Drosophila melanogaster: one gene and its partners. The protein of the gene in region 3 interacts with the protein of the main gene of each other region in a pairwise test. Each region holds a gene or a part of one and is shown on either strand. Other genes may lie near its edges.

Region 1 (8,370 bases), on a different chromosome or scaffold from region 3:
CGGTCAGTTTCTTCTTCAGCTGACAGTTTTCGGCCCGACAGTTGGCCAATTCCAAGCAGGCGCACATGGCGATCTTGACGTCATCCGAGGTTGCGGACCTGGTACTGTATGCAAACCACATTGTTACCACAAGGAACACATACGCCGGATATCGAAAGCGATCTCTTGGCCGAAACTTACATGTTTAAGCCACTGGAGTTCTTATTATGAACCGGGCAATTGAGGGACATTTTGAGACTTGAAATTTATAGGCAGTTCAGTTTAGCAATTGTCTTACGACAAAATCAACTTTGACCTATTTGTACTCGGAAAGTTCACCCAGAAATATTTGACACTGTTTTACTGTTCTCTTCGATTCGAATGCAAATATGAGCTTCTGAAATACAGAAATTCAAGGTCCCTAGATTTTAATCTCCATTTTAAATGGGTCGCAAATCGAATATAAATCAAAAGATACAGTCAAATTACTGCAGATTGTTTTACTAGCCGAGCTGATAACAAAAATAAAATAGCAAACTGCAAGATAATGTGCAAACACTTTGACCAAAATGCCCTTATCAATATTAAGACAATTGAGTGGCAACAAAAAAAATAGAAAATAGAGTTGAAAACAAGGTGATAATTGTTTGGTTACGAAAACGACAACTTGTTCGCTATGAACCCAGTGTTTAAAATTCACTATCAAAACAAGTGAAGTTGACATACACATGAAAATATATCTTACTTAAAAGTAACTTTTATAAATAATAAAATAAATGTTAATATTATTTAAACTACTGGCACTTACGCCTTTTGGTGACTTCATCAGCATGCATTCACGACTCGAGCGGTTGGAGCTGCTTTTCCGGGGACACCTATTGACGCTCCTTGGCTTGCAGGCCGGAGTCGTGGGCTTTCGGGAACACTTGGGCACTATTTTCTTGCGGCCGCATCCCATATGTTTGAGTTTCTCCGATTGACGCCGATGACGCGAAGTGGAGCTTTTGCTGAGACACCGTTTCTGGTACTGCAGGGTATTAACGAAGGGCAGAAGATAAAGTTCGCCGGTCAGGGGGAAAGTGTGTAATCCCTAGGAACTTACTTTCGATCGATACTGATTCTTTTCTCGCGAACTCAATGCATTCCAGTACCCCGCTCCCTGACGCAGTGACTCCTCCATTTGGAGGTGCGGGGATTTAAGATGTATAGCCACCGCGTAACTTAAAAAGCCGTTTGGATACGGTGCCATCTCTACTTATACTTTTCAACTAACGTACTGAAATTTAGGATGCTAAACTAAGAATTACGTACAAAACATTCGAGCTTGAAAAATTGAAAGGTACAAATTTGAGTTGAGTTGCTGTTGCTAACTGATAGAAGTGAAATCTCAAAACTACTTGTTTAATAATAATTGCCAGTTTCTGGATTTGATACACAACTCTTCGTTGGCCTTAGTTTATTATGATGTATATATTACAATTTGGTTAAAAACTGTTCGCTTAGCCTAGCAACAAGCGGTTTAACTTCAAAACTTACAGATAATTTGTCATTACACTTAGCCGTATTAGATAAGCGAGAGTCGTTCCGTTCCGAGGACCCTTTCTCCAAATTTATATTGCTTCGACTCCTAAATATCAACTTACGAACTAATTGATTTATATTCACGTTGCGCATGGACCTGCATCCATGCCAGTAACTTGGCTAATACTGGCCACTCCCGCCGATCCCCAAATCACCCCGATCCCCCCAAGGTCCTTGGCCAACTCCTCCCTCGATTATCCTCGCCATTCCCCAAACACGCAGGTGAAAGGATTTAGGTTTTGGTTTGGTTCTAGTAGTAGGCCTGCTTTATGGCCGCACTGGTGATAAGGAAAGCGGAGCCAATCAGCATGAAGGTGATGATTTTGAGAGCACTTGGTCTACCGGAAGAATCTGCGAAAAGCGTGACATTCATAGATCATCCTTACTCAATTGGTTTTGCAAGGACACTTACTTTTCTTATTGGGCATCACGCGAATGCATTGATTCTGATTGGCGTTCGCCGAGTAGCCCAGCTTGCACTGGCACACGGAGTTGCGGCACTCGACATTCTCGGGATCCTTTTCTACATAGCACTCGGTGGCCTTGGTGCACGACTCTCCCAGCTCTGCAAGATTGCAACATATTAGAATTATTACAAATAATTAAAGAAAGCTTAGCGACTCAATTACCTCGCTTCGTCTCACAGACTCCGTTCTTAGCATGCTGCTCATCGTTGCATCCACACTTGCCCTCCGAATTGCAGCTCGCCAGGAGCGGCTTGCACTGCTCATCCTCGACGCACTCGTCCTCCAGCTCCTCGGCTATAATGAAATGTAATGTGGGGCAGGGCATAATTTTGCTGCTTTGCATTTCAGCTTCTGAGTACTAACCCTCTTTTAGGCACTCATCCTTAAAGTGCACGTATCCCTTTCGGCACTGGCAGGTGCGCGACTGATCCTCCTCGTCCTTCTCCTGGCATTCGGTGTTCTCAGGTATGCAGTCATCCTCCACCGAGCAGTCGGCACCGATGCCACGCATACACTGATCGTCCTTCTCAAAGTAGTTGTCCGCACAAACGCACACGCGATTGGAGCAGACGGAGTGATCCACAGGACAGCCATCGTTCGACTCACACTCGGCTCCCAGGCCACGTTTGTATTCGCAGAGCTGCTTGATGGCATCGTAGAGAGCGTACTCCTCGCAGGTGCACCTCCTCGGAATCTCCGGGTGGCAATAGGAGGCGCCAAATGGACTGCATTGGCTGTTCGAGGTGCAGGATAAGTGGTATTGAATGGCTGTTTTGATGGAAAAGGATATATCTTAAGTGCGATTCAGCAGCTAGCGTTGGAACCACCTACGTTTTCTGCAATTGCGCAGATCCCGCTCGTAGAAATAATTCTTTTGGCAATTGCAAGTTTTGGTCAACTGATCGAACTCGTACTCGCACTCATCCGTGCTCTCCGCAATTTCCCCCAGTTCTAAAGAATTTTCATTTCAGTTAATTTCATTAATAGAAGAATTAAATTGGGGGAAACCCAGTTTACTCACCGGCAAAACATTTTCCATTGCGGGCATAGTAACCCTGGCGACATAGGCAAATATTCTTGGAACAAATCGAGTGCGGCAGACCCGAGCATGTCTTTCCATTATCCGTGCAGCTGCTGCCATCTAAATGGGAAAAAAAATAGTTGAAATATATTTAAGATTGCCTAAGCATTGAGAGACTTCATTTTTTTGGGGGCATTCTTGGATACTCACACTTCTTCTCATCGGCATCGTCGTCATCGCGGCTGGAACCCAGCGTGGAGTAGGTCTTTATATCCTCGTCATCGAATCGGAAGAGGGCGGGCAAGCGGCGTCTTTGGCCATGGGCGTGTCTCTGGTTGCGGCTGGAGTTGCGCCTGCTACTGGTGCTCGTGGAGGCGGTGGCTGTCGTTGTGGTGGTGGCGGTGGCCGCATTGCGCACACTTCGTCCCACCTCCCTCAGCTCGTACTTCTCGATGCTCGTCTGGACGGCAATCTCGTGGGATCGGGGCGAGATGAGCGGCTCGGTGTCGCCATTGGTGAGCTGGGCGAAGGACACCTGGGCGGCGGCATCGCTGTGAGTGGGCGGGGGGGCGTGTACAAAGGCCTTGGTTAGCTGCCTTCGGCTACTGAAAGCGGTCTCCTGTTCCGGATCGGCAGTCTCGGTGATCGCCTCGGCTGTGGTTGAATCATCATCCTCTGGCGAGCCCGGATTGGTGGTCTCCGTTTCCTCGGTCTCGCCACCCGGAGTCGTTGTGATCTCGTCCACATAGGTGCATACTAGGCCAACGCACTCGACACCGGCGCCCAGTTCATCACAGTCCGCGTTAACGACGCAGGCATCGTTTTCTTCTGAAAATCAGGCATATATAGAGCCATATAGAGCCATATATACCATTTACAATAACTTCTCGACTAACACATACCCATTGATTTGCGACGGCAGATGTTTCCATATCTGTTATAATAGCCATTTGCACAGCCGCACACGTTTTGCTGACAACTTACAGACGCACGATCGTAGCCAAAGTAGCAGTCCAAGTCCTGTTTAAAATCGAAAAATCATGCGAAATTATAAAGGATATGTGCACGGTTGATTGGGCCGTGGTCTCACCGTTTCGCAGGACTCGCCGAGTCCGTTCAGTGGGCGACACTTGCCACGCAGATAGTTCTGGCCATCGGCGCAATCGCAGACCCCGGCTTTACAACTGGCCCCCGTTGGCATAAGATTGCACTGGACGCTGTCGTCGCACTTTTCACCAATGAGCGACGTGGCCAGGCATTGGGTGAAGTTCTCCGCGAGCACCGTATCGAATGTGGAGCACTCGCACTGGCCGCTGGCAAAATCGCAGCTAGTACCGTCAGCTGTGCAGTCCGCCTCGGTTTCACATGGCCAAAATACGGCCAACACGCCGCCGTCGCCTGAAATTGGTTAAGAAATGGGTTAGGACAGCAGCCTGTTTGGTTGGTTAAAAATTAACGTATCCACGGTGCCTGTGACCACACATTCGGATGTGTCGGGGCGACCCACTTTCGGCTGACTCTCAATTATTCAAAACGGGCTCCAGTTCACACACTTGATTAAGGAGATTTTCATTAACTTTCGATGGGTTGGGACAATTTTCCTAATCACCTATGTACCATAGAATCCAATCAGCAAAATCCTTAAAATATTATAGAGACTAGTTCAAAGAACTCACTAAAAACTGGAAGTGAAAACTAGATTTATTATGTTCTATAACATATGTATATTGGTGGATATTCAATATCTTCTTGTCTCGTTTTTAAAAATAAAATTTGTTACATTTTCTGTCCCAGCTTTAAACTGATTATCATTTACATTTGAAAATCGCCCTACTAAACCTCTTCCTTGATCCGATAAATTTGTAATTGGCTAAACATCCTGGTCAATCTAGGCAGTGCCACGCCCACTTATCTACCTGTCCAGCTGATTATTACCCTTACAAAAGGCAACTCTACTACCCTTTACTATAAGCAAAAATTCCGAGCGTCGCGACGTGCAAAGCTTCTTTTGGCACGCAACGTGTCGGGGCCGCAATTTATTACGTATACGCCAACGACTTCCGGATGAGGTTGCGGCATCGAAAAAATTTCCATATAAAACAGTATCAACGCGGCAACAAACAATGCGAACGCGAAAAATTGTAATAACAATAACAATGCCACCGAAAAGAAAAAAAAAAGTGAACTTCGCTGGACGCTTTGCCACTTTAATTTCCATTTTCCGTGGCCGGCAAAACAATTTCTCAAACCGCAAAGGACCTTGGGACCTGGACATTCGTGAGAGTCCTTTCCACCGGGGGATGGCGTTGCTCGTTGAGTGGTGGGGTCAATGGGGCAAAGTACTTGACCTTGATTGCGTTTGCATTAATTACTTGTGGTTCTTTAATGTTATGACTGTCGTAGGCCCACATTTATTTGTCCACTAATTTGGCCAACTGCCCTTTCGATGGCCTCACACCCGATTAAACGTGGCTTTAATTCAATTACCGGAAATCGCTCGCCACATTGGGCCACATGATTTCCCTCGACTTTTTTTTTCATTTCGCTCTCGCTATTTATTATTATTTTTTTCCTTTTCTGTTACCTTGAGGACTGAGAACCGCACAACAAAGGACGCCGAGCGTTAGAAACCATTGGAAGTTTGACATTTTCCCAAGCTGAGAGCTACTTTCCCGAACTGCTGGCTAATATGGCCAAAAGGCAACTGACCATTTCGAGTAGGGATTGGTCTATATCGAGTGCTCGATTTCGGTTAATCTTATCTCTATGTCGGCCATACAAAAAAAAAACACTCATACATCGATGATTAACCGGTGGCAATCGGCGGTTTTCCCTGATAATCCTAATTTGAATTATCGCAATCTGCAGTTTCAGTTAGCCCAAATGTCACCGGAATTGGTTGCCAGGGCTGCAGCCACCGTGATTACCCACTTAGTTGGTTCTCCGGCCATTTAGAGTGGTATCGGTGGTATCAAGAGGGCGCTTATCAGCGTCCAACACCTGCTTTGGACACCTGTTCTTCGGTCTAATGGTAGTAGTAAAACGTTAACCCCATCTGGTCTTTTGGCAAGAGTTGAGCTGATAACGCTGAGACTGCAGTATGGCTATTTTGTTACTAAATAAAATAGTTAATCAATGAATCACTCATTCAGATAGCTCATTATGTTTACTTTTTGTCTCATTTAATTGACAATCAAGGCTGTCATTGTAATTGTTTGTTAAATTTTTAAGTATTCCTTTTTTTCATACACTTATATTTAACTAAGTATCTAGTATACATCACTTTTACATATATACAGTTTTCTCAGCAGAAAGGCTGACTATTTTCTAAAATGCTTAAAAAGCTTCGACTATTTCATACCCATCTACCAAGTCTTACTTCTTGAAGGGCAACTACACGTGTGCCCAAATTTGGTTACTATCTTCTGAGCGTGCGCCTCGTAGTTTTCGGATTTCCCCCCGGTTGACGGCTATGTAAATTACTAATTGTAGTGTATTTATAATTCAATATGAATTATGTTTTAAAAATAGCAAAACGCCGTCGGCGACGAGTGTCGCAAGAGGCGACCTTGAAAGTGTCCACAAATGAAATGGAAAGCAATCGATGTGAAAGGGGTTAATTTCGGGGCTAATTTAACGCGGCCTGTCGGTTAATCAGGCCGCATTAATCATTGCAAGCTGCAATGTATTAGCTTTGAATCATCCGAAATGGTAACTCCTTCAGATTTTCACCGTAATGAATTGGCCTTTAAGGGCTGTGATGGTGCGTAAGTCTCTATTTGTTTGTTGCTTTCTCCTGACCGCGTTTCAATTTTCCCGCTAGCTGGCATTGTTATTGTTTGTCGCTTTTCCCTTCTGCCTGTGTGTGTTTCTGTTTTTGAGAGACATAACGTAAAAGGACATTTTGTGGCTATAAAAATGCTTTGCCACGCACGCGATGAAGTGAAAAGAGCAGCGACAGGTGCAAGAGAAATTATATCCCTTCCACCCCAAACTACACACACCATACCGTTTTTTTTTTTTATATACATTTCGGATATGGATTTGTATATGTATATGGCCCAAAGTTATTCAGTACAAGTGCAAGGACGCACTTTGAAATTATCGACTTTGTAGTGCCCCATTTAAGTTCTGACTGGGATTTACCGCTACTCACATTTGGCTTAAAGGGACGCTCCTTTCGCTGTTGATGGCTTAATCCTCGTCGCCTGGTTTCTATATGGCACACACACACACACAATGCACTCTCCTTTTTGTTTTCGCTTATCACTGTTAAGTGGTGTTTTTTTAGGCCATCAAAGGATCACTGAATAATTGGAAAGTATCATTGATTAGAAATGCTGCCAGCTTTGGGCCAACATCTCGAGTCCATCTTTAATCAACTAATGCAGACGTCGCCGGTGGTGTCGACAAATATACTAATACTAATAATAAACTAAATTAGTGGATTTCAAGAACACATGCCGCTGCGGGGCTCGTTAGTTAGCTGGGAATGGATATGGGGATGGTTATGGTTATGGGAGTCGAATTGGGAATGAGTTCCACATTCGATATGTAATAAATGACGCCCTATTAATGGCTATGTATTGGTTAGCTGGTCAGTGACTTCGGTGTGGTTATGCATATAATGGATTGAAATACGTTAAGCGTTAGCGCGCCGAATGTGATGACCTCCATGACCCGTCGATGGAAATAATGAGTTTTCACATCTCGCACCCGGGAATCGATACTCGTTAAAATGTTTAAAATTAATTAAGCCTCAATGTGCACAATTATGTAATGCAGAATTTTTAATTAGTTGTATTCACGACACACTCTAAGCATCTGCATTATTTTGTTTTTGAATTTAAGCTGATTCATTTACTTGCTTGATAAAATGTTTTATTTTTTTCGAATTAGGCACTCGATTAAATATCACTGCATGCCGTTACGCGCACTCCGCTTTTTAGCTCTCTTCGCGACTCTTTGGCGCGACTTAAAAACCGAGGAACGCAACTTGATCCTTTCGTAGCGAGCATCAAGCCGCTACTAATGGCTTTTTCTCTGGCTTCGTATGTTTACGACTCTCGCAAAGTCCAGCGAATGGAGAGCGGAGTGCGAAAGCGAGAGTGAGAGCAGAAGAGAAAGTGAGAACGTAAAAGCAGGACGAAGGCGGAGAGTACACTCGTAGAAATGTCGCAAGGCTGCAATTTTGACCGTTAAATCTATAGTTTCAATATTAAATAAAAAATATGTTTCTTATAAATTTTCTATAAACGAAAAATATTGAGGAATAATCCAAGAAAAATTAAGAAATGTAATGTAAAATATATTATAATTTAT
Region 2 (5,417 bases), on a different chromosome or scaffold from region 3:
AGATCTAAAGGCGCTAATGAGCAGCCCGTACGGCCGACGAGTGATTCAATGGCTGGTGGCTCCGGGTGATACGACATGCTTCCATCCAGAGTTCATTCGCACGGTGGAGGAGGGTCTAGCCTTTGGAAAAAAGGAGAAGGAGCTGCGTCGCAAGGAGATCCTTGAGCAGATAGAGGCGCCGATTGCACAGTCCATCGCCGAGGATGCCGCCTTTTGGCTGTCCAACAGCCACATCGGCCTGGTCACCGGCGATATTCTTAATCACAGTAAGTGCACACTTCTGAAAGCCATAGCAGAAACATACATATGGATTTACAAGAATATGTTCACGATATTAATGTACGTTTGCATCTCTGCCTTTTAGTTCAAGGCGAGTCCTATGAGAAGGCTGCTTCGGCCCTTGCCCAAGTCGTCGTCCAACCGGAGTGGCGCATTTCAGCAGACGCCGCCGGTCCGCAGCCGCAGGATAAGAAGAAGCCTCACAATGACGTGGAGGCCATTATAGCCCAGGCCACCAAACAGCGCAGAAAACTGCTTTATGTCGAGAGCAGCAGCGACGACGAAGATGAAGATGAAGATGAAGATGAGGAGAGCGACGATGAAGGAGACGAGAAGGAGCAGAAGGAGGCGGCCGCAGATGATGCCGAACCCAAGGTGAAGAAAGCCAAAAAGGAGCCCAAAAAGCCAAAGGCAAAGGAGGAGGAGCCGGCGGCTCCGTTGGTCTCCGGAATCGAGGAGGCCGGCATGCACATTGTATTGAAGAAGATACTCAAGAACGATGGCAAGCGAGAGGGCACCCCGTTCAGCCAACAGCTACTCCAAAACTTGTCCTCCGATGTGGTAAGTACCCAAAAATCATGCCATCCGGTAACCGAGGGTATCTTCCTTTTTCCCAGTCATGAGAAACGCATCGTACTTTTGAGTTTTTTCTTTTATTTAATGACGTTTCGACATTCCTTTAGCTTTAGTCTAATAAATAAGTAGTCGCAAAGTAAACAGCTTCACTCAGATTCCAATTCCTAATTGCGATTCCCTTTCCCTTTTCAGCTGAAAGCCTGGCTGGGCGTCAACCGGGCCTGTTTTGTCCTGCTCAAGCTGGTGGAGGAGTGTCCCGCACTGCTGGACGACTGCAAGAAAGCCATCGCGGCGGAGAGGAGCCTTAGCCAGATACTCGCGGACCGTAAGACGCCCGGAGCCAAGCTACTGGCCGCCAAACTGGACATTGGCAAATGAGAAACGCTTCTAGCCTAGACAAGACCTAACATTTTAAAATACAATAAATAATTCTATATTGAAATGGCTGGGCATTCCGTTTTATTCATGTGAAGGGACGCGAGTTGTGCTGTGGGTCGGTGCTCGATGAGTCTATGCCTTGCGCAGGATGATGTGCAGGCCGGAGTCGCTGTCGACGATGCCCGACAGCTGGTTGACGTTCAATTTGAAGGCAGCGTCCTCGAAAGCCGCCTGCATCTGACCTGTGAGATGTGAAATGTAATTAGAAGCAGTTGCAGGTCGGTTGGGTGGCCTAAACTCTACGATTGCAAGTAGCTCGCGAAGTTATAGGTACAAAAATGTGTAAGGTAAGGAAGATTAAAAAAGAAATGCCGCGGAGCCAATTGCAAATAGTGTTTGTCTATAACTATGCATCTATAATCTATTAGTGGTCGATATATCTTCTCTTCTCTTCTCTTGAATATTGAAAACAATCAGAGCCTCTAGTGGAAGTACCAATCTGTTTCTGGATTGCGCCTCAAGTGGGAAGCGCCTTATTCCTAAACGGACACACATCGAGGACCACTCGATCCTGGACGTGTGACAAATGCACAGTGGGGAGATATACATACCTCTGCCGAACTTTCCCAGGTCGCCGCCCCTCTTGGCGGAGCTGCAGTCGGAGTAGGAGCGGGCCAGCTCGTCGAATGTGGCCTCCTGCTGGACGATTTTGTTGCGATAGACCTCGAGGAGCAGCTGGGCCTCCTCCTTGGTGCGCGTGATGTTCGCCTCGCGCCACGAGCTGGGACGCCGACTGCCCTTGTGCTTAACCAGCAGATGCAGGCAATGCACCTCGTCCGGTGCATCTCCGCCGCCGGCGGATCCTCCGCCCGCCTTCTTCGCCGGCTCTGTGGGCTGATCCCACTGCGACTCCTTTGTGTACATATTGAGATAATAGCTCATTCCTGCAAAATCAATCATGATCAATCAAGTGCAGGTTCAGTTTAGCGTGCCGGTTCCGCATTCCGCCGGAAAACCGCCGGCATGGCACGAGCGGGACTGCACACGATGCTTACCTGTGGAGCGGCTAGTGCGCTTCTCCCAGCCGTCCGGTAGTTGCTCGGCATCTGGCATGCTGTTTTCACTTAATTTGAGTTAAATTACAAATAGTTTTCGGAATAAAATAAACCACCAGTGTGACCGCGCCGAACACGCTTTGAGAACATCCATCAAAATCGATAGCGCCTGCCATCGACATATCGATACACATGGTGGCGAATTCGCCAAATAAGGTGCTGGCACGTGCTAACTGCGGTGGGTGCACTCGCTAACCGCAGATACAGCTGAGGCCAATATAATAGCAGCGAACTAACAATAATGTGCTGATATGTGCTATTCTGATATGTTATATGTATCTTTTGCCGAAAAATTAGCACATAACTTAATTAAATCTATTCCAATACCTCCTTCAATCCGCGACACGAATAGAGGAATTTCAATTTTTCTAATGTTTATTCAGGGGATTAATAAAAATAAAATAAATACGTGGGCATTTGTACAATTAGTTTTAGTGCTTCCTTGACTTTATTACAGGCTAGCTTTAAGTAGGTTAACATTTTAAAAGGACTAGCACAGGGGAGTAATCCTCTCAGCTCAGCGTATGTATATATATATATATATATATATATTGCGTATTTGTAGGCATATGTGATATACATACATATGTATGTATATTTGCATTCAATATACTCATGTGGTTTTCTCGCAGGGAGTGGGCGAATACTTGGCGTTCTTGGAGTTAGCTAATTATTTAGTTAGGGGCGGGAGCAAGTGAGCTAATAAAAAAATTTAAATTAATTATACAAAACAATTAAATACATTTTATAAAAGTACAAACACACGATCTTCACTCACGACCTGAAGGAAGGGCTTGGCTTGGCCCTTTCATTCTTTTTCCCTCGATACAATTTTGCTTTGTCATGTCTTCTGGGGCAGCTACTCTGTCACGGCAGCTGCCCAGCGCATCTTCCCAGCGAACAACATTCGCATCCGGCTAACAGAGGTCTAACTTAATGCTTAATGACCAATTTACAACTCGATGGGGCTCCTCTAACGGGCTAAGATTAGTGGGTAACACCTCTAAGGTGCCTCTATTCATTTCATAAAACTAAACTCACATTGCAGGCGTGCTCTTCGACTTCTGGTTAATAAATGCACTTCCCGAGGCCGATTCACTAGCTCTGACAGGGACTCGAAGGCGCCAATCGAGACAAGCAAGACAAAAACTAGCGCCTTTTAGGCGCTTTCCTTGCGGAGACCTAAATGGCCACATAGCGGCGGTGCATGAATTAGGGAAATTTAAAAGAACTACTCGACGATGCTCCTTCAGTTGGCTAAAATTATAAATACACCTTGAAGGCGCTCCAGCCGTGGAAGCACTTGGTGAAACGGCGCGACTCCTTGTTCTTCATCGTGAGGAAGAGCTTCCTCGGCCGCTCCGGCTGCTTGATCCGCATGTGCTGGATGTAGACCTGGGCGGACTTGTAGGCCAGCTTCACCTCCACCTCGCTGCAACGCGGTCCCATCCACAGGAAGACGTGCTCGCCGTTGTCCAGGATCATGATATCGTCGTCGGCCAGATCGTCCTGGCAAAAGTCGGCGCACTTCTCGGCCACCGTGTAGTAGCCGCGCTCGTTGGAGCACCGGAACAGCCGCGTGTAGTTCATGTACTCGGCGTCCGTATCGTAAGGCTTGCGGCCGCCCAGCGCCACCCAGAAGAAGTTCTCCGGCTCGTCGCCCTCGTTGAGAATCTGCAAAGGATGGATGAAAAGAAACGATTAACAAGAGCGTGTACCTTAATATAAACATATGTACAATATATTCCACAAAACAGCCCACTACATGGTTGAACCACATTAACACATGGAACCCACCTGTAAGCTCACCCACGGCGAGTTGAACATCTGCTCGGCAATATCCTGCACCAGTTTGGCCTCTTCGTTGCAGGCCTTGCTGCCTATCCACACGTACACAATCCCCGACTGCGAATCGTCCTCCGTTTCAAATGGCACATGGAGTATGTAGCTGAAATAATGCGTATGGAATATAAATATTGGAGCGACTACTACTATGTTCGCTATCTTTTGGATATATATAAATAATACTGTGTCATATCACGTAGGCTTCCAGGAATTTCAGTTTCAACCAACGATAAGACAAGAATGTTGATCCAATAAAATCGCACTTGTCATACATCTCAAAAAAAAAAACTGGGTGATTATTACCACCCACAGTAATAAATTATTGGTAATTTGCTCACCAGAAGGTTGAGTTGAGATGCACTGCATCCGGATTAATTTGGATAAGGCGAGTGGTGAGCGCACCGCCGTTCGATCGCAGGTGAAAGAACTCAACTGGCGACTTGCCCTTCGCGGTGTGCGCCTTGTCCTTCCGCTTGCCGGTGTGGATGATGAACTTCCGCTTGAAGTGGGACATGAACTTGAGGTTCTCCTGCTGCTGGAAGATCCGCACCACCTCCAGCTCCTCGCCGAACATCGCCTTGAACTTCTTCTGCAGTGTAAAGGTAAACGTGAGCCATCCCATATTGCCGGCATTGCGTCCCTGCCAAAAGTAAACGACGCACTGGATCTCGTCCTCTGGCTGATTGTTGGCGCTGGATTTACTGACGTCTGCGGCTGGGTTAGCACCATCTTCGGAGCCATTCTCGGGCTCCTCGATGGGAATGCAATAGCGGCAGAGGAACACATAGCATTCGCCGGTGTAAAAGCGACCCAATTCCTCCTCGGGCAGCCGGACGAACTTCTTGTTCTCCAGTACAAAGGCCTCCATCATCTCCAGATCGTAGTTCCACTCCTCCTCCAACTGTTCCGCCTCCGCCAATGGCATGGCCGACTGTCGGGGCATAAATAGCGCGGCAAGATCCGTGCGCGTCTCCTGCTGCCGAGCCCACTGTGTGAGATTAGCCCCTGTCTTGGCCACCGACTTCGCCGTTCTCGTGAAGTCCACGGCCATTACCTCATCCCAGCCAGCGAACTTGGTTCGGAAGATCTGCATTTCATTGCCCTCGGGTACACGCATCACCAGCGCATAATCCGGACGATCCATCATGTTAAAGAGCTCCCGACTCAACTTGACAGCGGCCGCTCGGACCAAACGCGTCGACTTCTTGCCAAACCAAACGAACA
Region 3 (6,524 bases):
TGAAAAGTCTAACAATTCTCACTTTCTAGTTTCTAGATACATTTAACAACTGCTATTTTACTGAATAAATTAAGATAAAATCAATTGAATTTATTTAAATATCTATATAGAACTTGTAGAAACATTACTTAAACAAAAACCTTCCTGAATAAGAATTTTTAAAATGAATTAAATTTATGTAGAATTTATGTTTGTTATCTAAATAAAAGGTATGGATATAAGTTTTATGGTAGTGAACAGCTAAGTTTACCGATTTATGCTTCTATTTCGCTTCTATGTCATTAAAATAAATTTGAGAATAAGCCCCTACCAATTGCCCACATTTTTTCTCGCCGTGCATTGAATGGCCAAAGGGACTGGCTCCAAAGTGCGTTTTTGCTAATGCGAATAAGTTGCTCGGTTTTTTGTGGGGCTTGCTTATTGAATTAAGTTGGGGCGCAGAATACTATGGTTCGCAGTGGAACAACTCTTTCGCAACTCAACTGCGGTCTCAATGTTTGCATTAAAAATTCATAAATCAATTATGGAATGCACACTGCGAAATATTAGTTTTTTCTCGCATCATTTACGGGCTTGTCCTTTTGCGTCCCAATGGAGATGGAGATGGGGAATTTGGGGGGGCTTCAGATGGAGCCTATGTGAATCCAGGACTCGACATCGTCGCGCACTTTTTGCTGCCTTAGAATTTTAGTTATTTTGCCATGAAATGCGTGAACAGCTCGCATGGGAAGTTAAGAATTCGATGTGCGATGTGCCTGCAAGTTCTTTTGCTACTGCCAACTGTCAGCCGTTGATTAAATTTATATATTGTCGTTTTTTTTTATATTTGGAATGCCGTCTTGGCGTCGAAATTAAAATTAAATTAATGAGAACCCGAGTGTGTGCACTGCATAAATTTGGCACCCGAATGCCATATCAACTGACCAGTCTTTCATTGGTGGCTTAGTCGCATTTAGTGGCTTTTAGTGGCTTTAGTAGACGTATGCAAATGAGCCGAAAACGATGACAAAATTCTGTTGGCTCTTAATCGATTGCAAGGCAAAAGGCTTTTTGCACATCTCCAGCCATAATTATAGTCGATAATCTGAACGTTCATTATTTTAATTATTGTAATTTACCAAGTTTGCATATTATAATAAATGGTGCACCACTCCGCCGGCGGCTTCATTAGCATAAATTTATGCCAGCCACCGTGGTCAGGAATATTGTATACATACACACATATATACATATGTATATATATAAATGTACATAAATTGGCAGCAGGATAAACGCACTAGCATTGACGCATTTGACCACATAGTAGTCGTTGAACATGGCTTACACAGGCATTGCAAGGGCTTTGTAGCTGCAAGTGTTTCACTTCCCCCCGTTTGGGCCAACTAATTTGAATTACTGAGCTCCGAATACCGGGTAATTATGACCAGACCTCGGACGATGCACTGCCACCGGAATGCCCCACCAGACCCCCCCCTTCGGTTACCAGCGATTTGCATCCAAGGCGGTGACGGCTGTCCTAAATTGTGAAACATTTCTTGGCGGCGGGGCGGCCATTATGGCTATATCCGCATATATATATATATATCTATATATATATGTATGTATATATATAGGGATCCAGGAGCCCCAACCGGTGCCAAAGTGCTTGAATATTCATGTGCAGTGGCTGCTCCCCAAACCCGCCGGCTTAATATGTAAATTTAAAGTTATTTCGCACCGTCCATTATTAAAGATTTCCCTTTTCGCACATGCCAAAATATTCAACTGACTCAGTTTCTGGTTTTATGAAACATCTTTTGTGTGTGTGCCAAATATTATTTTAGTCCGCACTAAATAAATAGTATATTCAAGTGTCTCTTGAAATGATTAAGTTATGGCTGCATATTGAAATGGCACAGCTGTAAATCAAAATATAATAAATACATATAACGAAATTAATAAATTTAATTTCATGGCCAATATAAATTGTTATGACTAAGCCATCTGTTTTAAATTTAAATTTAAGGCACCCAGTAGCAATAATTCAGAAATTTGCTCTTTCAACTGGTTTTTCGCATTCTACTCAATTTAAATCAATGTATTTATAAATCTTCAGATTCTATTCACAATAATTATTGTAAGCAAAGTGCTCTTTATAATATGGTATTTATGGCCTTCAGTTTGAACACAAATTATGAGATTACAAAAAAAAATTTGGATAAGGTTTTTAATTGATTTGGAATTTGTTACTTTTAAAATTGAATATATTATTGACAAAATCTAAAGGGAGCAACATTTTCAAAGCAAATATAAATGTATATATAAGATACAATATTGGATCCATACTAAAAGATTCCTTAAAATTGTTGTCTGTGCTAAATAACCGTTTAAAACTTAAGTTAAGTTTGCTTACTAATCAATACAGACTTAAAAAAAACGGTTAACTGTTAATCTCTAAACAAACCACCGGCATAAACCCACCTGATTTGCCGTCGGGTAGCCAGCGTATCCAAACTGCGCATATGCAGCCATTGTCTCGCTGGCTGAGTTGGCCTAAAGAGCGGCGACACGCGAGTTCACTGTGCCGGGGCTTCACTGTGGGGCGTCCCTCGTTGTTTGCTTGTTGTTTTCTTATTTTTTTTTGCGATTGCGGATGCGGATGCTGGCGGAGCCCTCGAAAAAGGGGTGGCCAAGGATGTGGGGATGGTGTTGGGTGCTTAAGGGAGGTTCAAGTGGGTGGCCAGTGGGTGGTTGGGTTGGGTGGCTGGGCGGATTTGGCGTGCGTGCTCGACGGCTAAGCACTCTGGGCGCTTTTGTTGTTTGCTGGCTTGTTGGGTGTTGTGCTATTGTTGTTGTTGCTGCTGCTGGCTGGCCTTGTTGAAAATTGATAAAACAAATTGTCGATGTCGAGCAGTTCTGTTAATGTCGCCGGAGCCGGAAAATGTTTTGTTTGTTTTGTGTGACTTTGCTGTTTTATTTCGCTCGTCCGTTTTCATCCGTTTTAACTTGATTTTTATTGACTCTGTTTGACTCTTTGGCGGCCGGTTACCAAAATGGTTAAAAAAAGACACACACAGACGACAGCCGGGCAAAGCAAATTGGATTCAAGTGTTTGCCGCAAACAGATTTACAAATGTACGCGGCTCTTCAGTCTTCGGTCAAAAGAATGTGTCAGTTTGGTTTGCGAGTTTACCCACTGATTGGTATTTCAGTTTTTTCCACACTGTATCGAAATTTTTTAAAGTCAGCTTAGGAAACTTTTTGATATGTGATCCATAATAATAAACATAGTTTCGAATTTATGGCGAGTTTCTTTTGATATTTAACGAGACATTTCTAGAGAGGTTTGCCTGTCTTTTCGGGTCCCTTTTTTTCGTATTTACTTTTATCATAACTATTGCACGCACTTCATTATCTACGTCGGTTGCATCTGCCGATCCGATCCGCTGGCAATGCTCCAGTAAAAACGGGTTCCGTTCCAACCTGTCAGCGGTATCTCCACGGTGACGACGGCAGTGACTGCGACTCAATAACCGACTGTGACTTATCCGGTGACTGTAACTCGTTCGTCGGTACTTTCGTTTCGGCCTTTTTTCGAGTTTACTGGGCGACGCGGCGGAGATGCCAAGATGCGAAGATGCGCACCTATTCGCGTTTCGGAACAAACTGTTTTTCGGCCGCTCAGCGAGCAGCGCGGTTGCGTGTGACAGAGATGGCAGCAGCGATGTAAACGGGATGGCTGCAGGGCCGCGAGAGAGCCAGCCAGTTAGGAGCTCTCCCATTGGCCAGCGTTCCAATCAGACTGGCAGCCACGAGCAGCAGCCTTCTCGCTTGCACGTCTGTGAGTGGTCTGGTAACGAGTGAGAAGGGTAGACTCTCTGGGGCTGTTGTTGCTTTGTTCGTTGAGAACGCCCACCTCCAAGCACTGGAAAGTAAGTCGACGCTCTCTTTCTGCCGACCCCTCTCTGTCGACGTTGGAAGCGATTTCATGGCGGACCACGATCGAAAGGCTTCCCAATTGGATATTGTAGCCAAAGTTGGCTAAGAATTTTCCGATTTTGATAAAAAAGTACAATACAGAAATAATTGGAAAAACTAGAAAAGAGTTGCTGAAGATTTGCTATCATAATAACTGGTCAAAATACGTCTGGGCATACATTCGTGGGAAGAATTGGAACATTTTTCTACAATCTCAAAAAATCAAACATTAATTTAATTAATTAAATATAATGTTTAAGAAAATTTGCAGGCATATAAAGATATGTTTTTCAAGACGAGTGGGTATACAATCTCTTTAATATTGAGTAGTTTAGTGTTTTATTTGATCCGCTTCCAATTATTCTTTGAAATTTTAAAAGAGAATTTTCAATATTAAAATAACAAAAACATAAAACCTTTTTTATAAGCCCAGCTGAAATAAATATAATCTATGTCACATCAAACTACAAAAAATAACATACAGCAAACAAATATAAGCATGTTTTTATATTTTAATAAACATATTTGCTTTTCTATCTTGGCTCCCAATAAACAAAAAGTTTGATATTTTAATGTGCATTTAAATTTTGGGTGGTGTAAGGACTTGGAAAATCTAAAAAGTAATCAAATTAAATTATTTTAGAAGGTCTGCAAGTATATAAAGCCAAAATCTAATTTTATTTAAGAAAACTAATCCGTACGTTATTGGTAACATCAACAACATTTAATCATTACAGTGTGTGTGTGTTTTTTTAAAAATAGCTTGATATATGCATTGTACATTTCCCATAAAAGTGCTTAATGCTCCAATATCTCAAGGCCAAATCACGAAAATCGCAGCTAATTGGGACTAGCTAATCGTAACAAGATACCGAAATAGGAGAAAAAACAAACAAACAATCCGATTCCATTCGATCCAAGGAAGGGGGCGTGGCCGGTCCATTTGAGGGTCCTCGAGTCGAGTGCGTTCTAATTAATGGTATGTGGAGCGGGCGGGGTGGGGAGGGGAACTGAACGTTTTTGGGGAATTTTTGTAAAATGAGTATTTTGATGTTTTGGGGTGTTAACGCGCTGCCATTTATTATAAATGCGAGTGCATCTCAAAGTCAAAAGAGACGCACATGTGGCACTTTTTTCGGTACTTACAAACGAACGCATATGTAAATGTGTGTGTAGCAATGTGTCATTTGCATAGGAAAATGAAAATGCACCGGGTATTTTTGGGAAAAGTGTCCGAATGCCCAAACTCCTGATCGGTACTCAATTTCTGGACGCTCTTGGCGGCGCCACGAAATTCTACACCCACTTCATGAGTCTGGGGATCTGGAATACGAAAGGATTCACATGAAAGAAATGCATTTGAGAATAAAGAATTCATCCATGAAATTTAAAATGTATGCTTTTAAAAATTGAATTTCTAAAGAGCCAAATTGTGATTGGTTTAAAAGTTGCAAATAGTTATTCTTCAATTGAAAACAACATAAATGCAATCCAATCATACCAAAACGTTATGTAAAGTAATCATATATTAAAACAATTTCTGAATCATCAAATAAGCAGGACTATACTCGTGTAATTTTTTAAGTTTCGATATTTTGAAGATACACAAGATGAACATTTCAAATAATCTATATATAATTTATATTTAGCATAATTATAAGCTTATATTAAATAAATACTAAATGTTTAAGAAAATATGTAAAATGAGTATCATGCTAATTGGAGTATATTTTAATTGAATCGAATGTTTTCTGCAGTGTTTACCTCCTTGAATCAATATCTCTGAGTGATTTGTTTGATGACTTCGGACATGTGAACTGTGGCACATGTCGCATATCCTTGGGAGCACGTAGCCCGTGCCCATAAGTGTCCTGATCCCAGGATTCCCATTGTCTGAGCTCTGCTTTCATTTAGTGCAGCACACACACTCGAACATTGCTCACTCGGTGGACAGGACATGCAGATTATATTGAAAACAATTTAAATGTAGATTTTGGCGTTAAGAGATATTATTCTTCGACGCCAGGTGCGTTGGTTCAGAGACACTCGCACACACACTCCAACAAATTTAACTGCTAATGTGTGTGAGTGAATGGGTGGGCGTTGAGTGGGTGGAATGGATACAGTTGCACAGAGAGTTGCAGGCAGAATATTCACCACCCCACCTCCTTCCCCAGAAAGGCTTCTTACTTAAGTGTTGTTTCATGTCACCTGGAAAGCATTTGGACATGAAATTGTCGCTTTTCAGTATGTGGCACACACACAGATACTCACACATACAGTTTCCTCTCGGCGAAAAATCTTCTGCCGCACAGACACACACACACACAGACAGACACACATGCAAAGGCAAAAGGATAGTGCTTCTGGTGAATATAATAAAATCCTTTTCGCAAAACGATAAACGATAAAGTCACCGTAACAAGCACAAAAAGGATTCTCTCTCTCTTCATGCAAATTGCTTTAAATGAATTTGTTTTCGTTTGTGTTTTGGGTTTGCACACTTGGAGTTGGAAGTCCAGTTTAAGCCACGACTCCAAGGGGAGCCATGTTGGGTGTACTCAACA
Region 4 (4,442 bases), on a different chromosome or scaffold from region 3:
ACGATGGAAACGTGCATGATTTGAGATTTGATTTGGGCGGCGGCCACATTACAGTCGCTAAACCTCGGCTTCCGTCCCGTCGTCCTGGCATCCTGCGCTTCAAAAGGCGCGTTTTAAACATTTCGCTCACGTCTCGGATGTTTATGCCATTAGCGTTTAAGTTGCCCATACAAAGTGCGACTCGTAGGTAAGCAAACGTTCCTTTGTTTTGGCTTCCTTGCCTGTTTTTATTGTCGAGAGACAGAGGTAATCGATGCTCAGGCTAGTTATTGAAAAAATTATCGAGGAAAACCCGAGGTACAACTCAAATAAATTCAATGAAATTGTTACTAGCCAGCAAATAGCTGTTGCTGTTCATTTGGACAAGTACAATTTATTTATTATCACATAAAATGCTTGCTACAAACTTTGAAGCTTTGTGAAAGCCCAAAAATATGCTATATACAATCACGAACAAATTTATCTGCACTCTATGCAACACGCTGAGCAGCAGCAGTGGTAACATTCCATGTCTGGATACAGATCCTGTTCCTCAACCTGTTCCTGATCCTGTTCCTGCTCCTGGTCGTACATCCTCTTCCGCCTGGCTGACCGATACAGTCGCCGGATGAGAGCTCCATATGGTTTCCGCGCCATCAGGTGAGTGGTTGTCTTGTGTATTTCGTAGACGCAATTCGTTTCGAGACACACAAAAGGCTCCTCCACCTGCAGGATAGTTTCCGATCTGAGATTGGGTACTGGCATTGGTAGCAGACTCCTCTGTTTCAAGATATTGATCTTGCTCTTCTTGACCACCCTCCTTTTCTTGGCAGGATTGGGTGCTGTAATGGCACCTTGGATCTCCGCCTCGAAGGATTCCTGGCGCCTGGAGGCCTTGCTCTTCAAGGCCGAAACCGTTTTGTATCGGTTCTGGATATCGGTAATGTTTCTCAAGGTCTGCTTAAAAGCAACCTCGACTTGCTCGACTTCCTGCAGCGTATTCCACAGATTCTTTTCCATAATTTGTTCACGAGAAAATTTTATACAATAAAAAATTTGAATACAAGAATGCACACTCCTCCCACTTCAAAAGATCATACGAATATACAAATCCTGTTCGATTGAAAAATCAGGGAAGCTAGATGTGTGATTTTCTCGTTGCGTTGTCATAGGGAAATTCCGATATGACCACCAAGTACTCACCTTATCGCAAAACAGGCTGATAAAATGTTTTAATGGGAAAACCAATGCCTCCAGCAGTCTTTCGTCACTATATATAGCGTGGAAATCGGGGTAATACTTTAGTTCAGAACGGAAATCGCTTTGGAAACATGCCACCACCACCGCACCAGCCCCACCAACCGCACCCACCGAAGGGTCCTGCGCATCCTGGGGATCACCAACCAGGACCGCATCCCCCTCACCACGGAGATCCGAAGCCCCATCACGGACATCACTAGGCCCATGGACAAGGACTATAAATAAGATTCAATTTTATACAGAACAAAACAAGATGGATACTTTTTAGGGAACTTAGTTTCTAATAGAAAGTCTTAAAAACTCTTCAAACCAAAGAAATAAAAGCCTGTACAAAATACATAGCTCTACTCTTTTCTATATCTTCAATGTTTATGATCTTGAATTGGTGATACTGCTTAATGCATTCTAAGCTTCCATTAATTTGAACAAAGCATACATATGATTTGAAGATCTAAATGCTTTTTAAATTATAATACACGTCCTAAGTGCAACGTACTAAGCTTAAGAATTTGTTGCTGATTGTTGCTGATTGTTGCTTACAAAAATAAAATATTATAACATCTCCATATTGTTGTACTTATGAACTACATGCAAAGTCGTCATTAACTTATTCTTTAAGTCACATATAGACATATCAGTAAACAATTCGCTTGTTTGTTATTACTAATTTCGAATGTCATACATTTGTTTTTATTGAGCGAAGTGTTGTTGTGGGAAAACCCGAAACTTACTTATCAACCGAACTGGGCTCGTCTTATCTGAAATTTAGATAAGATTACAACGTATTCGAATCATTTTCCTATAAATGGTTTGACAGGATAGGCTTTAGCTTAGTACTCAACTAAAGTCAGAAAAGTCAAGATGCCACCTCCACCGCACCACGACCACCACCATCATCATGGGCCACCACACCATGGACCTCCCCACCATGGGCCACCGCACCATGGTCCTCCACACCACGGGCCACCGCATCACGGGCCACCACACCACGGACCGCCGCACCATGGACCTCCGCACCACGACCACCATCATCATGGACCACCACACCACGGTCCTCCAATGCATCCTCGATGAGAACTATAATACAATATAAGCCGAATTTAACGTTATAAACTGATATGGAAAAACTTAATCGTTAACTGTGATTAAGCCACAAACTAACATTAAAATATCTTCACTAACTTCTAGTTAGTTTCACCAAGAGCAAAATGTTTTTATTTTAGAAATTGTTTAATTTTATAACACCATTATAAAGATACTGATTCTAATAAGCAATTAGAAGAATATTGAAGCAAGAATTGATTAAGTATGATTAAGTATCAAAAAGCCAGCAGATAAGGTAGACAATTATATATAAAAGAAAGTCCCTCTCCACTAGAATGCAGATAAGATTACAGCCTACTGAAACTATGTTACTTTTGTATAAAAGGTCTGGCAGGAGTGAGCCAGTTTAGTGTACAACAGAAGCCCGCCAAGCAAAGATGCCTCCTCCACCACCGCACCACCACCACAACCCGCCGCCTCATGGGCCACCGCCCCACGGACCACCGCACCATGGACCTCCGCACCATGAACCACAGCCCCCGTTCCACACGCCAGTGCATCCGATTTACCACGAACCTCCTCACGGAAACAGCTCCGGCTACAATCCTCCGCCGCCGCATGGTCCGTATCCATATGGTCCAGGATACGTGGCCCCAGGACCTCCAATGCATCCGCGATAAGAACTGAACTGTAATCTAGATCGGTTAATATAGTGTGATATCAACAAATGTACATTTGTGTGTGATTAAAAAATATGCTGCTTTTAAATATATAAACTAACTTTAGTTAGTCACGCCTATGTGTGATTCAAGTTTTATTACTTGTAGCTTCTATGCCAACAAACAATCCCATTTCGAGTATGATGATATATGCGCCTAATAAGATAAGGACGGTTTTTTGGAATTCCCATAGGACCGTCATAAAGATAATCCATTGAAAAAGTCGTCATTCTTTAGGTGCGTTATGATAGCTTATTTTCGGGTACTATCAAATTCTTGAGGTAACACGTCATTACTAATATTTCACTAGGAAAACAATCAATCAATCAGTCAATCAATCACTGGATTCTTTATTAATACGTGGGCTTATCGTATTAGTCGAATGTCATGAATTCTTAACTGAGCATATCTTTGATTTATTGGCTCTTTTCCATTCCATTTGTTCAAGAATAATATTTTTGTTTTTATTTTGAACGCTGAACTATTAGTAATCATGCATATAAACCTGTTGTAAACCTTATCAATGAGTTACTTCAACTCAACGCTAGATAAAGCTGTGCAATCTTATCGATAGGAAATACGCATTTGCTTACATTAGTCAGAACCTAACTTAGATTGTTGAGGTGATTTTTGGGGTACGCCACTGTTGATTTTTAGGGAAAGTACAAAGGGATGATATAATATATAACTTTAAAGACTTATTTAGAATATAACAGTATTTTAACAGTGCTACTTAATAATGGGAGCACATAGACAAAATTTGTTTTTAAAAAGAATATATTACTCATCCGCCACGTTGGCTGATATGGTTATGACCTTCTGGCTGGATAACTAGTGTAATACATGCGATTTTCGCAATAGACCCACCCCGTTTGTGACCGCAATCACTCAGGCGTTTAATAATTGACTGCATCTGCGGTCGAATCCCAATCGAATCGGGGTGGGTGGGTTGTTTAATGGAACAGACCCGGGTAAAAATCAAGCAAACGGCAAATAAAATTTATAACAAATCTAACACACATACATCATTTTGATATGGCCACGGACACGTTCCGTCCGTCTATTTGCTTAAGGATGGATGCTTCTTCGGGTGGCAGCACATGGACATGGACGCGGTCCGGACTGCGGAGCATCCACAGCTGAAGCAAGAGCTGTAGTTGGAGCTAAAGCTGAAGCTAGTGCTGGAGCTGGAGCTGGAGCTGGGGGCAACTTCAGCCGGGGCAGACACATTAATTTTGCTGCTCGCTTTCCTAACCGCATGCAATTTTTCTTGGCTCGCTCTCCGTCGGCTATCGGCTTTCAATGGCAGGAAGCGCACCCCGGAGGAAAGTGGGCTGCGGATCCTGGATGGGATGTGCATAGCCCACATCCTTCAGCCAGTCAGTTAGTCAGTCAGCCAGATAAGTGCGGTTTATGTGCAGCACGTAGACTGACTCAATA

Evidence for each region.
Region 1: the proteins of caup (region 3) and CG7381 interact in a two-hybrid assay, tested with the Drosophila melanogaster proteins (one large-scale study listed by BioGRID).
Region 2: the proteins of caup (region 3) and dod interact in a two-hybrid assay, tested with the Drosophila melanogaster proteins (one large-scale study listed by BioGRID).
Region 4: the proteins of caup (region 3) and CG5011 interact in a two-hybrid assay, tested with the Drosophila melanogaster proteins (one large-scale study listed by BioGRID).

What each region holds. Positions count from the first base shown.
Region 1 is NT_033777.3:12,966,373-12,974,742, forward strand, and holds CG7381 (uncharacterized protein), read right to left. Parts: upstream 5,756-8,370; 5' UTR 5,697-5,755; coding exon 5,633-5,696; intron 4,447-5,632; coding exon 4,139-4,446; intron 4,069-4,138; coding exon 3,951-4,068; intron 3,877-3,950; coding exon 3,259-3,876; intron 3,169-3,258; coding exon 3,049-3,168; intron 2,979-3,048; coding exon 2,859-2,978; intron 2,796-2,858; coding exon 2,391-2,795; intron 2,322-2,390; coding exon 2,190-2,321; intron 2,126-2,189; coding exon 1,973-2,125; intron 1,912-1,972; coding exon 1,811-1,911; 3' UTR 1,403-1,810; downstream 1-1,402. Other genes in the region: grsm (granny smith), read right to left, coding at 788-1,006, 1,082-1,228; CG14384 (uncharacterized protein), read right to left, coding at 1-104, 181-230.
Region 2 is NC_004354.4:21,342,380-21,347,796, reverse strand, and holds dod (dodo), read right to left. Parts: upstream 2,440-5,417; 5' UTR 2,347-2,439; coding exon 2,289-2,346; intron 2,178-2,288; coding exon 1,845-2,177; intron 1,476-1,844; coding exon 1,366-1,475; 3' UTR 1,234-1,365; coding exon of another isoform or gene 1,048-1,233; 3' UTR 939-1,047; downstream 1-938. Other genes in the region: peng (penguin), read left to right, coding at 1-266, 365-840, 1,048-1,233; fliI (flightless I), read right to left, coding at 3,612-4,022, 4,146-4,296, 4,532-5,417.
Region 3 is NT_037436.4:12,606,756-12,613,279, reverse strand, and holds the start of caup (caupolican), read right to left. Parts: upstream 3,650-6,524; 5' UTR 2,512-3,649; coding exon 2,461-2,511; intron 1-2,460. UniProt on the Drosophila melanogaster protein: Controls proneural and vein forming genes. Positive transcriptional controller of ac-sc (achaete-scute). May act as an activator that interacts with the transcriptional complex assembled on the ac and sc promoters and participates in transcription initiation.
Region 4 is NT_033779.5:1,198,140-1,202,581, forward strand, and holds CG5011 (uncharacterized protein), read left to right. Parts: upstream 1-2,531; 5' UTR 2,532-2,720; coding exon 2,721-2,963; 3' UTR 2,964-3,081; downstream 3,082-4,442. Other genes in the region: CG5139 (uncharacterized protein), read right to left, coding at 460-999; CG43348 (uncharacterized protein), read left to right, coding at 1,311-1,439; CG43349 (uncharacterized protein), read left to right, coding at 2,101-2,313.